Linked DNA regions of Oryctolagus cuniculus. The protein of the gene in region 2 purifies or fractionates together with the protein of the main gene of each other region. This does not show direct contact. Links are inferred from orthologs where the notes say so. Each region holds a gene or a part of one and is shown on either strand. Other genes may lie near its edges.

Region 1 (4,403 bases), on a different chromosome or scaffold from region 2:
TGCTCCATGAAACTTTTCCTTTTGCAAATTTTGCTTTATATCTTTTCACTGTAATAAATCTTAGCTGTGAGTGTAACCATGAGTCTTAGTCAGTCATCAAACTTGGACACCTCTTGGGCACCCCCAACACAGGTATTTACCAAGCTGTCTCCTAACCTCCTGAATGCCTTTCCTCCCAAGATTCCTGATGTTAGCACTTCAGTCACAACACCTGTCAGATCCAGCTTGAAAACAGTACTGTAACTTTATCTCCTTTCTCCTCCTTTTCTATTATAATGCCTCACATCTGCTGCCCCACACAGGCCCTCCTTCTCTGGGCTATCAGAATCACTTCCACGCTGCTCTCCTTAGTTTCAGGCATCATTCCTTCTAATACATTTTGTTCTCTGCAGTCCGTGTATTTTTCTAGCCTTCAGATCTGATGTTGTTAGCATCTCAATGAAAAACCCCTAAACCTACCTGATTAAAGCCTCTCCTGTGTAGTTACTTAAGGTCTGAAACCCACCCTGCAATGTTTCTTATGTTGCTTCTACCTCAACCCAGTAACCTTAAGCTGCAGTAAAAATGAGTTACTTTTAAAAAATTTTATTTAGGCCAGCGCCGCGGCTCACTTGGCTAACCCTCCACCTGCGGCACCGGCACCCCAGGTTCTAGTCCCAGTTGGGGCGCCGGATTCTGTCCCGGTCGCTCGTCTTCCAGTCCAGCTCTCTGCTGTGGCCCGGGAAGGCAGTGGAGGATGGCCCAAGTGTTTGGGCCCTGCACCTGCATGGGAGACCAGGAGGAAGCACCTGGCTCCTGGCTTCGGATCAGCGCAGCACGCCAGCCGTGGCGGCCATTTGGGGGATGAACCAACGGAAGGAAGACCTTCCTCTCTGTCTCTGTCTCTCTCACTGTCTAACTCTGCCTGTCAAAAAAAAAAATCATTTATTTATATGAAAGAGTTATAAAGAAGGAGAGGCAAAGTCAGAGAGAGACAGAGAATTTTGCTCCTTAAATGGCTGCAATGGCTGGGGCTGGCCTCGGCTGAAGCCAGGAGCCAGAAACTTCATCCAGGTCTCTCATGCGGGTGCAGGGGTTCAAGGACTTGTGCCATCCTCTACTGCTTTCCCAGAGCATTAGCAGGGAGCTGGATCAGAAATGGAGCACCCAAGCCTTGAACTAGTGTTCATATGGGATGCCGACACTCCAGGAGGCAGTTTTACCCACTAAGCCACAGCACTAGCCTCAAAAATGAGTTCTGATTCCTGGTTCTATGAGCAAGTCCAGCAATTGTGCACACTCTTCCTAAAATGCCTTCCGATTCTACCTCTATCTTAAATACAACTTATTCTCTAATACCTTGCTAAATGTAAACTTCTTTACAAGAAATACCCCAGAAGGGTTTGCATTGTGGCACAGTGGGTTAAGCTGCTGTGTGTGTTTGGTATCCGGTATCAGAGTTCAAGTCCTGGCTTCTGATGCAGCTCCTTGCTAATGCACCTGAGAGCGCTGATGATGGCAAAGTTACTTGGGCCCCTGCCACCCACAAGGGAGACCTAGATGGAGTTCCTGACTTCAGCCTGGCCCAGCCCCAGTTGTTGTAGCCATTTAAGGAGTGAACCAGTATATGGAAGATCTCTCTGTCACTCTGCCTTTTGAAAATTAAATAAATCTTAAAGGAAAACAAACCAACCAACCAGATTTCCTACTCATAAATGTCCTCTACTGAAAGCTTATTTATCACATAATCTTTTCATCACTTTCACAGAACTCCCCCTACCGTTGCCTTTCTAATCAGACCATAATGCTGATTCCTGTATTCCACTGGACTTGGTTCACCTCAGACACTTGCTGATAAACTGAAAATCTTCCCAAAGCAATAAAAAGAGAAGAAGTGTAAAAAGTCATACAAAGCACTGGCTGTAGTTCACAATATCTGTATTTGATGAACTAACAAAAGAGAGGAGCTGGAAGATGCCAAACATAAAGCAATGACTATGAGAGGGAAACATTAGTTACTTTGATTTGATAAGGACATATTATATATACTTACTGAAATGTCACACCGAACCTGATAAGTATGTACAATTAAAAAAAAAAGTTATATAAGGCTTAAGACTGTAAAAAAAAAAAAACTGTATTCTTGAAACAAATAGTCCATTATCACTAAAGAATCCTCAACCTTAAGTCCTAGATATAAGAAACTCACAATTTGCAATAGAATTAAATGGGTCTTCATAAATCAAGAAACCAATATATGAAACTAAATGTCACTTTAAACATCAAGGAAATAACTTGTAGTACCTCCCTCCAACATCTACAGTAGATTGAAACATTAAACCTGACTCTGTTATTCTGTAAAGAGCCACAAACTGCCAATCACATTAAGCAAGGATCTAAAAAAATGTTAAACATAAAGCAACACAAGGACACTCGGAAACCACAGTGGAAAAGAGAATCAGCATCTTCATTTGCCTTTTCTCACGGCCGTCAAGAGAAAAAGGCGCATCAGGGTAAAGATGGCAGCAAACACAGCAGGGACAGATATACTACAGCGTCGTCTTTAGCCCAGAAGAAAAGTTGTTAAAAGCTCGATACTGGTCTCGGGCCTGAGGAGCAAATCACGGCTAAAGGGCTGCCCGCGGTAAGTTCCAGGAGTGTGGTGGCTACCGAACTACCCGATCCCGCGCTCCCAGTGCTCCAAGCAGGGTCCGCTTGGGCCCCTACGGTGTTCTCCCTGCCTGGAGCTGAAGTCACTGACCGACTTGACAGCCGCTTCCTGCTCGTCCACCGCCAGGGCCCACGAGTCGGTGGCCATGGTTCCGGAGGAGGGAGGGCGACTTGAAAAGGAACGCAAGGCACCACGCGTATATCCTAAGCCTGCGGCCACCGACCACTCACGCCGACCGGAAGCGGCGGTGCACGAAAATGACGTCACCAATCTGCGCCGTGCCGGCCCCCTCCTAAAGAGTAAATCTCGTGCGTTTTGCTCGGACTTGGCTAGAGGCATCCTCATTCCACCCCGAAATGCTCGAGCTTGCGAAGTGAAACTCTTAGCCCTCACCCCAGACTGAAATAACCCAAAACTTACTTTTAAACCTGCCGCATTTTACATTAAATATATGCGGACGGTAACGTTTCAAACAAAGTCCTATGAGAACCATAGGATGCCAGTTCATATGACAGGTAAAGAAAGAAAACACAGAGGCCGACCTTGTGGCATAGCTGGTAAAGCCGTAGCCTGTCAAGCCGGCATCCCACGTGGACGCCGGTTTGAGTCCCGGCTGCCCCACTTCCGAACCAGCTCTCTGCTGATGGCCTGGGAACTGGCTCCTGGTTTCTGCTGTCCAGACCCCTGGCCATTGCAGCTATCTGGGGAGTGAACTAGCGGATCTCTCTTTTTCCCTGTCTCTCCACACTCTGTAACTCTTTCAGATAAATAAAATCTTTTTTAAAAGCGTGCTTTAACCTCCCCACCACCACCAATAAAATACACACACATAGGACAGTGTTTTCTCTTATTTAAGGTCCGTCCAGGCTTATGCATAGGCATCACTGCACATATATTCTACAGTGTCCAAGGCAAATATGCATGCAATTTTAAATTTAACCTTTCAAAATCTTAAGTCGTTTTTAAAAGACTTATTTACTTATCATTTATTTGAAAGGCAGAGCCACAGTGAGGGAGAGGGAAATCTGTCTTGGGGCTAGGCCAGGCCAGGCCTAAGCCATAAGCCTGGAACTCCACTCAGAACAATCTTGTGAGTGGCAGGGGCCTAAGAACTTGAGTCATCATCTATTGCCTTCCCAGCTGCAGAAAGCTGTGGCCTCCAGGACTCCAAACAGCACTCTAAAATGGGAGCAGGCACCCCAAGCAACTGTGGCCCCTGTAGTTTTTTTATTGGCATTATTATGAATATAATGGCCAAATATAATGGCCGTACAAGTCCATCAAACTCATGTCACACATTACCTAAGTCCTCTCCTCCTCCTGCCTTTGGAACAGAGCTTTCTCCATTATCTCAGTATTAACTGATAACACGTTGATGAACATTTCCATATCATCAACAAATCAAATCGTCTGTTTCCAGTTTACATTTTGTCTCTCCTCACCAGAATATGAAATCTTCAAACAGAGCAAAGATCACAGCGAACTGGTGATCTCAGAAAAGTTCACGGCATATGGTGTGTTCTCAATGAATCTTTTTTTTAAAGCATTGAAGAATACACTAAGATTTTATTGAAATTGGATTACTCTAGGCTGCATTTTTAATCACAACAACTATGTCAAAATGTATGAATGGGGGCTGGCACTGTGGTGCAGCGGGTTAAAGTCCTGGCCCGAAGCTCTGGCATCCCATATGGGCTCCAGTTCTAGTCCTGGCTACTCCTCTTCCAATCCAGCTCTCTGCTGTGGTCTGCAA
Region 2 (3,866 bases):
ACCCCCGCTCCAGGGAGGTGGTATATGAAAGGCAGACATATTTAGAACATTTAAAGATAGGACTTCAAGCCACCTAAGGAGTTAAATGGCTTTAAGCTCAAAATCTTAGTTTCTTCACTTATACTATAACAAGCAATTTACTGATTATTTTTATGCAACTGATTTGTCACATGACATATAATTAGGCCTAACATTCTTTTTACTTTTGGGAGACTTATCTATTGCACTTATAAGTAAAAACACCTATCATTTCTCTAATCTTTTTATTAAGTCAACTTTAAAACAAACCATTAAATCTTTTAATATTGTGAAATATTATTAAAAACTTACTAGAATATATTCTCGATAAAATAATCATTATTTCTCAGTTACCAGCCTAGAACACTGGTCTATGTTGGTTTATTCACACCTTTTATATGTTGTGAATTAGGTTAAAGAGTGAAGATTAAACAGGATTAGCAACTCAATCAAGTAAAAAAAAATTAAATATCCTTCTAGTGACTGTAGACTTGAGTTCATTAACAACATTCAAAGCCGAATCCAACCTTACTTCATGTTTTTCAACCTTATTTTCATACTTTCTTCCAGAAACTGCAGCTTTCCATGAATCCATGTTGGAAGAAATGAAGCTAAAAGTTCCATGTTCAATGTATAACATAAGGGAACAACTGCATGACATGTAATATATACCAAAGGAATAACTTTTTCAAGAATATTTTTGGAGATTACATATTGATCAAGTGCCTCCAAGAATACAGACCTGAACTGAAAAACAGAATCAGCAGAGTAATTTTTTTTCACTCTCATAAATTCCACAGCCCTTTCTTTTTAGTGCTCTTTTATTATAAGGAAACTAGTAGTGCTAATTTCACAAGATAAAAACAATTATGCTGGGTGTAGCAAGTAAAGCCGTTGGCATCCCCTATAGGCACAGGTTCAAGTTCTGGCTGCTCCACTTCCAATCCAGCTCCTGCTAATGTGACTATGAAAGCAGCGAAAAACGGTCCAAGTGTTTGGGCCCCTGCACCACATGGGAGACCAGAAGGAACCTCTTGGCTCCTGGCTTCAGCCTGGTCCAGCCCTGGCCACTGTGGCCATTTGGGGAGTGAACCAGAAGATGGAAGAGCTCTCTCTCTAACTCTACCTTTCAAATAAATAAATCTCAAATGCATACACACACACACACACACACACGCGCGCGCGCGCGCATAGTATTTATATGCCATGCATTTTGGATTATCTATGTAAAAGATACCATATCCACCTCTGAGGTCTCTAAAAACTATGATAGTGAATATGCATTTAACTATCTTGACAATATAAATAGCTCCACATCTACTAGCTGTGTATCATCTAACGAGGAATCTAACATTTTGGCAACGAATTTGTGCTATATTTCACCTTAAAAATCAATTTCTGATCCAACTATAGAAATTTTTACTCATTTAGAGCTGAGTTTAGCTCTGTAAGATAAAGATTCAAGATTGCTCACTTTCTTGTAATATACACAACTTGAAACCACACATTCTTATCTCACTTATCTTTTAATTGGGTGAGAAAAAAATGCTTGACCAAAACATGGCTTATGTATATAATTCTCTACCTTAACAGTAGCACTTTTACAAGGGCACAAAATTCAAACAAAAAAGTACTCTATTAATGGATTTTTAAACAAATATATCCATAAAGTACTTTCATAATTTAAATGCATCTGAAAAAAGAATCATGAAGTCCAAACATACTAAGTATATACAAAGGTACATACAACCTGCAATACCTACAAAGCATTTAACATGTATTAAACAGAGTAAAAGTTCCTGAAATACCAAACAAGTATAATGACAAAGCATCCCACTCCAACCATGTTAAATAACACAGTTTTTTCTCCTGACCAATTCTTATTAATTTTAAGAGGGGTCTTCAAAAAGTTCGTGGAAATTGATATTATGAAAAAATGCTGGATTTCAAAACATTTGCATCTAAATAAACGTGTTTTAATACTACGTTTCCACCAAATTTTTGAAGTATCCCTGTATATCCCAAATTCATATAAACCACAGATTTTCTTTTTAAAAGATGATAGCTTTAAATTTGATTCTAAACACAACAACTTTGTTACACAATGTAATTATGTTATTGTTTTGTTTAGCTACTTTACCTGGGCTCCTTCTCCATGGTATAAGCAATTCACCACATTGTCTAAAAGGTTGATATCCAGTTTTTGGCTGAAATCAAGCAGCTGGCGAGCTGCATGGTCTGCTAACATTGTCATAATTGCTGGCATAGATTACTGAAAATAAAGGAAAAAAATTGAAGCTGTCTATGAGGTTTTGGTTATCAGAAACCTACAAATTATTTCAAACATATTTTTACAAATAACTGGAGTGCCTTAAAAGACCACCTAATTAGTAACAACAGGAACTAAGAGCAAGTAACAGAAGCTAAATTACTTAACTACTCGTCACTAGGGTCCTTTTAACTTTGCTAGCCTTTTTTAGGCCTACCTTGTACCTCTCCCTTCTAAATTTTAGTCTAATAAAAAGCACATTTATAAAATGTTTATTAGGGTTTTAGGGCCCTAAAAACTAATACAGCTGTAAGTCCTGATCCCAAATTCTTAAACAGTTTAACAAGTGGAGGTGGGTTTTTCTTCCTATATAGCATTTTTTGGATAGCTCAGTAAAAGCTCACTCCACATTATCTTAATTTTTAATATATGTCGAAGAAAGTATTAAATATGGATATAGGGGGTGGTATTGTGGTGCAATGCATTAAGCAGCTGCCTGCAACTCCAACACCCGCATCCCATAAGGGCACCAGCTGAGTCCTAGCTGCTCTACTTCCAATTCAGCTCCCTGCTAATGTGGTTGGCAAAGCAGTGGAGGATGACCCAAGTGCTATGCCCCCGCACTCCCTTTGGAGATCAAGATGGAGTTCCAAGAAGCTCCTGGCTTCAGCCTGGCCCAGCCTGCGCTGTTGTGGCCATTTGGGGGAGAGAACCAGCAGATGGAAGCTCACTTGCTCTTTTCTCCCTCTCTCTAACAATGCCTGTCAAATAAATAAATAAATCTTAAAAAATTTTAAGTAAATGTGGATGTAAAATTTCCTATTGTTTAGGATGTAAAAATGTATTTCTTGGTCATATGCTTTCCTTGAATAAATGGTCTAGAAAAAAATGCTTATGGCAATATACCAACCAAGATTTTCAAAAATTTCCAGGTATTCACTGGCAAGGCAAAAGTTTTATAAAAACTTGCCAATTTCAAAATAAAAATAAATTCTATCTTAACAGAAAAGTGAGCTGCCTCAAACAGAGGTACTGGGTAAAAACTGTTCATATGCAATGCTATCCTTTTAAGAGCACACTGGCAGACATGCACATTTTTAGATGCCCAGAACTATAAAAATATTTTCTCTGCTTTTTCTTCAAAGTCAATGCCACTGACATCTGTTTGTAAACTTTTTTGGGGGTCAAGATGCCTTGGAATCAGAGAACATAACAGCTCTAGCCAAATTTTGTATAAAGTCAACAAGGATTCAAGATATCCTGAAAGCCATTTGTGAAACCCATGGGTTGATGTACAGTATTTAGCAGTTAACAGGTTAGAAGGTCATTGCCACTTCTCCTTTTGAGATCAGAAACGTCTGGACAAACCAATCTGATGAAAAAAGGCATCATTTCTTGGCCACTTTATAGCAGTTTAAAAACATTCTTAATAATGGAGGCAAATTTATTGTAAACACTTTATCTTAAAGATAATTTCAGTCACAATAAATTAAAGTCCACAATGAGTCACCTAGGTTAAGTATAATGTAAAAATCAAAAAATTAATGTGTACAAGGAACTTTTTAAATTCCTCTATAAT
Region 3 (4,460 bases), on a different chromosome or scaffold from region 2:
AGCTTTGGGATCCGCAAGGAGGGAAGGCCTGCACTTCCGGGAATGGAGAGTCCCTACCCGCACTTCCGGGGAAGACAAGTCCTTGTCAAGGTCCCCACGGGTGCCTAAAGGTCAACCAATGAGGATCAGACCCGCCTCAACCTTCAACGCCCACGCCCTATTTCTATAAAAGGAGCACTCCCAATCTCTCACACAGGACTTCCCCGGCCCCTGCTCTGTTGGGACCGGGGAACCTCGCCCGGGAGCGGGATCCCAATAAAAGCCTGTAAATTAATTGATTCGTCTGCCTGGGAAGATTTGTTATGCGCCGGACACCTTGCAATTCCCACATTTCATATTTAATCTTCCATGCCAGCTTCCTGACCGGTTGGGAGCCCAACATCTCAGCATTCACTGTCCTATCATAAGCCCTTCATATTGTTTCCACATGCTTGCTACTCTAGCGGTGGTTGGGATAGACGGGTGTGGTCAAGACTTTCCTGTGCAACAGGGTCTCCCAGCTCAAGGTGACTCTGTCCCCCAGGGGACACTTGGCAATGCTTACAGACAACTTTTGGTTGCCACAACTCCAGTTGTAGGACTATTGGCTTCTCGTGAGTAGAAGCCACAGCAAACAATTATCTCCCTCAAAATGTCAATAGCCAAGTGCTATACAGTCTGTCTAGAATCACACTGTGTTCCTGGAATATACCAACCGCTTTATTTATACATTTAATTAAATCAAAGGGCAGAGCTACAGAGAGACAGAGACATCTCCCATCCAATGGTTCATCCCCTCCCCCCGCCATGCCCGACACAGCCAGGGCTGGGCCAGGTCCACACCAGGAGGTGCTGCCCAAGGTGGCGCTTCCGGAGCCGGCACAGGGATACTGAACGCGGGCGTCCGGAGCAGCGTGCGGCTACTTCAGCGATTCCTGGAGATGCACACTGTTGCTTTCTAGGAACCAGGCGGGGTTCAGGAGCAGCTAGAACTGAGCGGGGTAGAATTCTGCTGGCACCCAGCAGATGCAGCTCTTCCTCTAAGCCTGTTTGCTCCTCTCCAGGTCAGAAACACTTCTGTCTCCCGTGGCGCACGCAGACAGGTGCGTGTCTCGGGGGACCCCCCGCACCCCCCAACCACACCACACGGTGGCGGCTCGGAAGGTGCGGCTACTACATCAGATTTAAAAGAAGCCCGAGCCCGAGAACAAGTTTTCCTGGCACTGAGAGCACCCAGGCCAATCTCAAACCAGGGGGCCAAAAACTCCGGGAGCGGGCAAATCGAAAATCCAGATCTAAACCTACGGGCGGGAGCCCTGGGTTCCAGAGTCGCCTCCAGCGGCACCCGCTTCCCACAGCGGGGCTGGGGCGAAGGCCCGGATGAGGGCAGTGACCACGGCCCAGGGCCCACACTCACTTTTCTGAAAGCCTCTTTCCACGGCGGCGAGCCCACCAGTTTATAAAGCGAGCGGCGTGGAGACCCCGCCGGCCCGGCCATCTCCTCCTCGCGTGAGTCGCCGCCAAGAGCCCCGCCCCTAAGCGCGCGCACAGAACCCTGGGAGTTGAAGTTTCTGGACGCCGGTGGAACGTGGGTCGCAGGGAGTTCTGGGAATTGTTGTACTAGAACACGGAGACGAAGGATGGGGCGGTGGGGGCTAACGCCGTGAGGTCAACCCAGCCCGGACTGAAAGAGGTAAGTCTTGAAGGAAAGTTCTGAATGCTTGGCAGTATCCAGCCAACAATTAGATACGTAGGGCTCTCAGTCTTTTGCACGGGCGCTAGACGTCCAGGCGCTCCCAAACTTTGTTAACAGGCTCTATACTGTTGACTTCCTCATCCCGCCCCCTCCTGGCTGCGGGGTAAATCCTGGACTGGCCATTGGCTCTCCCTCGGGCTATACCCCTAGCTGATGGGCTGCATCCCCCTTTTGCCCCGCCTCCTCGTGCTAGCCTCGTGCTTCCGGGCTTCCTGCTCGATGATTGGACGAAGCGGTGGACGGCTGGCCACGGATTGGCTGCGCTCCGCGGCGGGCTGAGCAACCCGAGTGAGGCGAGCAGTTGGGCCAAGATGGCGGCAGCCGATGGCGTCGTGGGTGACGGTGAGCCGTGGCAGACCTGGCTTCCCAACCACGCCGTGTTCCTGCGGCTGCGGGAGGGACTGAAACATCACAGCCCAGCCGAAGCCGAGAAACAGACGTCGTCATCACTGCCCACGTCGCCGCCGCAGGTGCTGACGAGGAACCTGGTCTTCGGCCTCTGCGGAGATCTCTTCCTGTGGGACGGGGAAAGCAGCTCGTTCTTAGTCGTGCGCCTTCGGGGCCTCCGCGGCGGCGGCGAGGAGCCCTCCCTCTCCCAGTACCAGGTAGGGCCAGGCCGTCGCGGAGGTGCCCCCCGCGCGGGCTCTCGGCAAGGGGGCCGGTGTGGGCTGGTTCTCGCGGGAGCGGGCGTCCTCTCGGGGACACACCGCTTGGAGCGGGGTGGTGAGTGGGGTGCGGCCGAGGGGAGGGCCGGGACGGTGCGAGAGCGCGGGGCCGGGGTCGCCTTGGGAGCAGGTGCCTGCCCTGGGGGAGGAAGCCTCTGTGGGAGTCTTTCCCCTACCCTCCGCAGAGTTGGAGGGACTTTGGTTTGTTTTTGATAAGTTGTCAGCGTGTGGAAGTGGACGCTTGCTGCGATTGGACATTGCTGTATGAAAATGTTTATTTGTAATACATGATCTGCTTTCATAAAGATTTAAAAAAAAACTTAGGGCACCCTTTCCAACGTCTGACATCTGTTGTGTGCTGCTGTCCAGTTCTTGTTGATGAGCAGTGATTTGATTTTTTTTTAAATGTATTTTGTTTATTTGAATGGCAGAGTTAGAGGTGGAGAAAGAGAGATTGTCCATCCTGGTTCACTCCCCAAGTGACCACTCCCCAACGACCTGGGCTGGACCAGGCCAGAGCCAGGGGCTTCTTCCTGATCTCCCACGTGGGTGCAGGGGCCCAAATACTTGGGACATCTTCAGCTGCTTTCCCAGGAGCATTAGCAGGGAGGTGGATTGGATGTGGAGCAGCTGGGTCTCCAACTGTTGCATGTGTGGGATGCCGGCATTGCAGGTTGTGGCTTAGCCCATTAGGCCATAAGGCTGGTCCAAAGTGCTTTGATTTTAATGAGATGCTAGCATTGCTTCTGCAGCTTTGAAAATAGGTCCAGCCTACAATCTACTTAGTATAAAATTTCAGTTAAGAGTAACTATCAGATCTTCAGTGCGCAGTATTCTAGCAGCGTTCGACACATTCAAAATTGATATATAACTGTTGTCTTTTCTAGGCTGTAAGCACTAAGGCAGGGTGTGTGTCTGCCTTGTTAATTTTGGTATGGCAGGTACTTGACTGAGTGCCTGGAACACACCCCCTCTCAATACATATTGTTGACTGAACAACCCTCAGTCCTCCAGAATCTCGAAAACCTCACAGATTGGTGAGGAAAAGCCATTTACCATGAGTTACAACCTTAAATTAAAAAAAAAAAAAAAAAAGTAGTGATTTTAAAACCAGTAACAACATGGGGCTGGCACTGTTGCATAGTGGGTAAAGCCGCCCGACGGTTGCTCCACTTCCGATCTAGCGCTCTGCCTATGGCCTAGGAAAGCAGTGGAAGATGGCCCAAGTCTTCGGGCCCCTGCACCTGCATGGGAGACCCGGAGGAAGCTCCTGGCTCCTGGCTTCAGATCGGCACAGCTCCGGCTGTTGCAGCCAATTGGGGAGTGGATAGAAGACCTCTCTCTCTCTCTGCCTCTCCTCTCTGTGTAACTCTGACTTTCAAATAAATAAATAAATCTTCAAAAAAAAAAAAGGAACAACAGAAATCTAAATAAAGTGATTTTCATAGATGAACTCATGTGATTGAATTGTATCTGAAGCAGAAGCAAAGCGGCCTCTTCAGTTTGAGTTAGGCTGTGGAATCAGGTAGGAAGAAGTTGGGGGTTGAGCATGAGGAGAAAGCAGAGAAGAACCACGGAAGTGCCTCAGAATTGTTTTGAGAAGAAACGCTTTGATTAGAATCACTGACGGACAAATAAAAAACAAAGCAGGCTTGTAGACATTGCAGCAGTAAGTAGAAATCTCATTCAGAGTAGAGTTGTCTAAAAGAATTTTGGCTTCATGCGATTCTTCATGTACCAGGTAAATAGTACATTGACAGTCTCACGGCTTTCACTGAACAGGGAAAGAAAAGAAAACGGGAATCTGAGGTGGTCTTAGGAAATAGGAAGTACAAGTGGACGTGAGTTTTTCAAGGACTTTTTTTTTTAAGGTTTATTTTTATTTATTTGAAAGAGTTAACAGAGAGGTAGAAAGAGATCTTCCATCCACTGGTTTACTCCCCAAATGGCTGCAATGGGTGGGACTGAGCCAGACGGGAGCCAGGAGCTTCTTCCTGGTCTTCCAAGTAGATGCAGGGGCCAAGCACCTGGACCATCTTCAGCTGCTTTCCCAGGCACAT
Region 4 (4,310 bases), on a different chromosome or scaffold from region 2:
TACAAAGCACGCTGAATCTCTTAAAAACTAATTAAAAATTAAAAAAAAGAAAATGTAATTTGAAGGCAAATTAATAGCTACGCTGACTGCTAAATTAAAAAACCTTCATGTGTCAAAAAAAATTACACTCAAGCTTCTAATTTTAAAGCACAATATAAAAGTAACAGAATTACATTGATAAAAATTGCCCTTAAGAAGAAATCAGAAGTTTTTTAAAAAAGTACAGCTGTTAAAAAATGTTATTGGCAATGGATAACAAGTATGAGCAGAAAAGGGTAGAGGGGATGTACCTTCACTATGTAATACTCAAGTACTGTTAATCTGTATCTTTCATGTCTTCCTTATTTTATAGAAAAGTTTTAAAAAGCAAAGTTTTAATAGCTTCTTCTTAATTTTACCACCTTGCACTCTTCATTAGAGACCCTAAAAATTCATTTATAATCTTCTCTAGTCCCAAATTTAAACAAAATTAATTTTTTCTAATACAAAATGTTTTAAATGAAAACTACCTACTATAAGAACTCATCATTCTTTTGACATGAGGTTAAGAACCAAACCCTCACCTCCATATTTCCCATTCCTAAACTTTGTCCACACTGAGGAAAGTTATGCTTGGGTTATGTGGTTACTTTTAAGCAAGAAACAATGACACGCAATGTAAAGACACTAGTACTATCTTTCAAGAGAATGAGACACATAAGTATGATCTGACTTTCATTAGACAACTGTCTAGCCTTGACTGTACCAGACATGTTAAATCCACCCACATTCACATTACCCTCCTGATACCAAAAAACTACTCCTGTATTCATGAAAAGCCAAGAGTCATGAAAAACAAGAGGAAAACTCCCTTTTGTGTTAGCATAAAGAAACTTTCATGAAGAACCAATTAAGTTCATGTTTTGAAATGTTAAAGACCATACAACAAGAGGAAATAAAAAACTAAGTACAGTATTGTTTATTGTATCAAATATTTATTGCCTGCAAATATTTACTGCCTGCAAATTTCTGCCCCAGTTTTAGCTCTTTCTCCAGTACAAATTCATTCTCAGTCAGATCTCGCAGCTGTTCTTGGTCTAAACACCTCAGTGCTACCTGGCCACTTCCTAAGAGTGCTCCTGCACTTCCCCAGCTAATTACATGTATCAGAACAGACAACCACTGAGTCCCCTTCAGCCTTCTGAAGCAATCCCTCTCAGTGCTCCTTGGCCTTTTATAGTGGAGGCATGTGATGAGCCTATCTGCACCAGCTGTTCCTAATTACCTCTCTGGCTCGGGTGAATGACTCAGCAACACAACTTTTTTAAAGAGTCATCCTACCTCATTATCCAACCAACATACTGAACAAAGGTAAACCGCTTGACAGAACCTTATGTTAAACAACAACAAAACAAGATGCAGGCACTACCCCAAAGCCACCCTACTCCAAGATGACTCACAGCAGCCTTTTTTCCTAGGTTTCCTTAAGATGTCCAATGGCAGAAGTGACAAGTGCCTTCAAACCAAACCCAGCCCAGCCCAGCCCAGCCCAGCCCAGCCCAGCCCAGCCCTTGCACCACTACCCTGAGACCAGGAAGAAGCAAGCTGACAGCTCTTCCCATTTCTTTGCTCGGCCATGTGACACGTTCAAATGCTCTGCCTCCCTAGAATTTCCACCCTTGATCTTTCCAAACAGCCTCAAATGCAAACCCTGTGGAATGTAATAAGCGTCCACTAGACGAACAAAGACCTAGTAGTGGCATCCTCCATGGGTAACAGTTCCAACACAGATATAAATTCTCCAAACTATCAGCATCCTACAAAGTCTTTGTTCCTCCAAAGACGACATGGTAGCTTGATTTTCCCACACAGGCTCCTCCACAATTACTACTACACTTTACCTTGAATCCGCCCAAGTTGAACGCAGAAAGAGGGCTCATGGTACAAACGCATGCCGCACAATTCTATTCAATGACATGAGCCTGCCTGGAGAGAGAGAGAAAGCCACGGCGTTCGTGATGCATTACAGGAGCACAAAGCCGGTGTCTCTACAATCAACACCCACTCTCACCATGTTGTGAGAGTCCCCATTACGACGAGCGGGCAAAACGCCAACAATGGGAGCCCTGAGACCTCCAATCCCCAAAACCAATTTCCCCAGACGCAGGTTAGACCAGGTGATCTTCCCGCTCTGGCCACCGTTCGGCCTTTCCGACGCGATGACCCGCGCGACCCACACCCAGCTGGGAGGGCGAAACGCCGCCCGGCGCGGGGGACGCTGCGGAGGCGCTGGGAGTGGGCAGAGGGCAGGACGGGGCCCGGGCCGTGAGGGCGGTGCTGATGTGTCACAGCCAGGGCGGGCCGCGGGCTGGGGCGCCGGGTGGGCTCCGACCCGGGGACCGAGGGGCCGGGGAGGGGCGGCAGGCGCCCGGGACCCCGCGGCGCGCGCGAGCGCCCGCCCGGGGGTAAAGTGCAGCGCGCGCCGGTAAACAACAGCGCTGGCCGCCTCAAGAGCCACGGGCACCCACGGACGCCCCTTCCGGTGGACGCGGCCACTTCCAGGAACGGGGCCGCAGCCGCTCCCGGCCCCGCGACCCACCACCACCACCAGAAAACAGCCGCCGGAGGCCCCCTCGGCGCCTCCCCTCACAGGCCCAGGCCGCGACCCTCCCGGGGCAGGGCGAGCAGGCCGGCCAAGCCACTCACCAGAGCCGGAGCGCGGCGCGGCCCGTCTGACGGCAGCGAGCGAGGCAGGCGGGTGGCGCGGGCAGCGGTCAGGTGACTCACTCCCTCCGCGCGGCCGGTGGCCCCGTCTCCTCCCGTACCGTCCCCTCCCCTCTCCTCGGCTCGGAAGCCGCGGCTGCAGCCGTCCCGAGGCTCCCAGACCCCGCCCGCCTGGCCTCGCGAGGCCCCGCCCCGCCCCGCTGAAGCCCCGCCCCGCCCCTCCCGCCAGGCCTGGCGAGGCACGCCCTCCTCGTGAGGCCACGCCCTCCTCGTGAGGCCACTCCCACCGCGCCTAAGTCCCGCCCGCACTTGGAGCCCCGCCCTGCGGCTCCGGAGGCCTGGGCAGGGGACCCGGGGAACCGCGGATCAGGAAAGCCCGCTCTGGGAGCCCCAGGGAGGGCTGCGCCGGCCATCTGACGAGCGGATCCCGGCCGGCCTGGGAGCGGCAGCGGCTCGGGTCCCCCACCTTCGCGTGCCCAGCCCCCTACGAGGACCACTCCTTTCCTGAGGGCAGAGGGAAAGGGGGCGGCCCCCTCAGCCCGAGTGGTGTCCGGACGCCCGGAGGCCGTCACGGCGCCTGGAGCTCCGGGTTCCCGCGCCCTGCGGGAGTGAGAGCGGGCGCCCCTCCCCAGAGCCGCACAGGGGTCGTGGCTGAGGAAGCCCTCGGGGTGGCAGGCGCCCAGATTCGCCAGGTGTGGGATCCTGCCGATCGGGAAGAAGCAAGTACATCCGGGATATTGTAGAAGGCGTCTGGCAGCCCTGGCTTGAATGAGAACAAGGGCATCCGCTAACAGGTGTTCCCTTTTCACCACGACTGCCAGGAAACTTCCAGCCAGGTTCGGTGCCAGCGGTGTCAGCGGGCCCGGCTCGAGCTCTGGTTGCGCTTTCATCCCTTGATGCTTATTGTGGTGTGTATCCAATTGTCACCTTTAAAATTATGTTCCCAAGCCATTTAACACCTCTGGAGCTGAAAGCCTGGGCCCTGCAGAGCGCACATGGCAAAGCTTATCCATGTCGGAAGAGAGGGGATTGTGCCAGCCAACTCCATAATAGAGTTCCTGGAGAGATGGCACTCAACCGGAGGCCTGCAGCCCTCGAAGGATCTGTCTGAAAGGATTTTGTTGTTGGCTTTTCACTTCTAATGGAGAAGGAGAGATGGGAAAACTTGGTGGCTCAACTGGCAGCAGCTCCAGAAAGTGTGGACTTATTTCTTGAATTCAGTAAGACAGCCCTGGAGCAACATGGCAGAAAAAAAAAAAAAAAAAAAAACTTACCACAATAATGAATTCATGTATTATTATTAACAAAACTGCAGGGCTGTACCCACAGTCTGCAGGACTTAGGGACATTCGCATTATATTCGAAATACACGAGAAAATGACAGAAATTGAATGCGAGTACAAATGGTAAAATGATACACTATGGCTTGGATATCAGGGAGAGATTCCCAGAGGAGTAACATTTGTGTTGTGTCTTAATGGTCATGTGTGAGACCCAGCTGTCCAGGGAGGAGGCAGATGGCATTCCAGGCTACCTGAGTTCATGGTAGCTGTGCAGATATTTAACAAGAAATAAGGAAAGGACAGCTGGAAGTAGACCATGAAAGA

The links.
Region 1: the proteins of XPO1 (region 2) and ATP-dependent RNA helicase DDX19A fractionate together in Homo sapiens (co-fractionation; 3 studies listed by BioGRID, with this or other methods). This does not show direct contact. The link is inferred for Oryctolagus cuniculus from reciprocal best matches to the Homo sapiens genes XPO1 and DDX19A.
Region 3: the proteins of XPO1 (region 2) and NUP88 purify together in Homo sapiens (affinity purification with mass spectrometry; 3 studies listed by BioGRID and IntAct, with this or other methods). This does not show direct contact. The link is inferred for Oryctolagus cuniculus from reciprocal best matches to the Homo sapiens genes XPO1 and NUP88.
Region 4: the proteins of XPO1 (region 2) and BACH1 purify together in Homo sapiens (affinity purification with western blotting; 3 studies listed by BioGRID, with this or other methods). This does not show direct contact. The link is inferred for Oryctolagus cuniculus from reciprocal best matches to the Homo sapiens genes XPO1 and BACH1.

What each region holds. Positions count from the first base shown.
Region 1 is NC_091449.1:56,865,861-56,870,263, forward strand, and holds the start of ATP-dependent RNA helicase DDX19A, read right to left. Parts: upstream 2,898-4,403; 5' UTR 2,798-2,897; coding exon 2,741-2,797; intron 1-2,740. UniProt on the Homo sapiens protein: ATP-dependent RNA helicase involved in mRNA export from the nucleus.
Region 2 is NC_091433.1:141,217,423-141,221,288, reverse strand, and holds part of XPO1 (exportin-1), read right to left. Parts: intron 2,291-3,866; 5' UTR 2,285-2,290; coding exon 2,159-2,284; intron 1-2,158. UniProt on the Homo sapiens protein: Mediates the nuclear export of cellular proteins (cargos) bearing a leucine-rich nuclear export signal (NES) and of RNAs.
Region 3 is NC_091448.1:50,908,842-50,913,301, forward strand, and holds the start of NUP88 (nuclear pore complex protein Nup88), read left to right. Parts: upstream 1-1,563; 5' UTR 1,564-1,672; intron 1,673-1,928; 5' UTR 1,929-2,046; coding exon 2,047-2,340; intron 2,341-4,460. Other genes in the region: RPAIN (RPA-interacting protein), read right to left, coding at 1,397-1,477. UniProt on the Homo sapiens protein: Component of nuclear pore complex.
Region 4 is NC_091435.1:16,286,011-16,290,320, forward strand, and holds the start of BACH1 (transcription regulator protein BACH1), read right to left. Parts: upstream 2,898-4,310; 5' UTR 2,686-2,897; intron 2,609-2,685; exon of another isoform or gene 2,051-2,608; intron 1,966-2,050; 5' UTR 1,881-1,965; intron 1-1,880. UniProt on the Homo sapiens protein: Transcriptional regulator that acts as a repressor or activator, depending on the context. Binds to NF-E2 DNA binding sites. Plays important roles in coordinating transcription activation and repression by MAFK.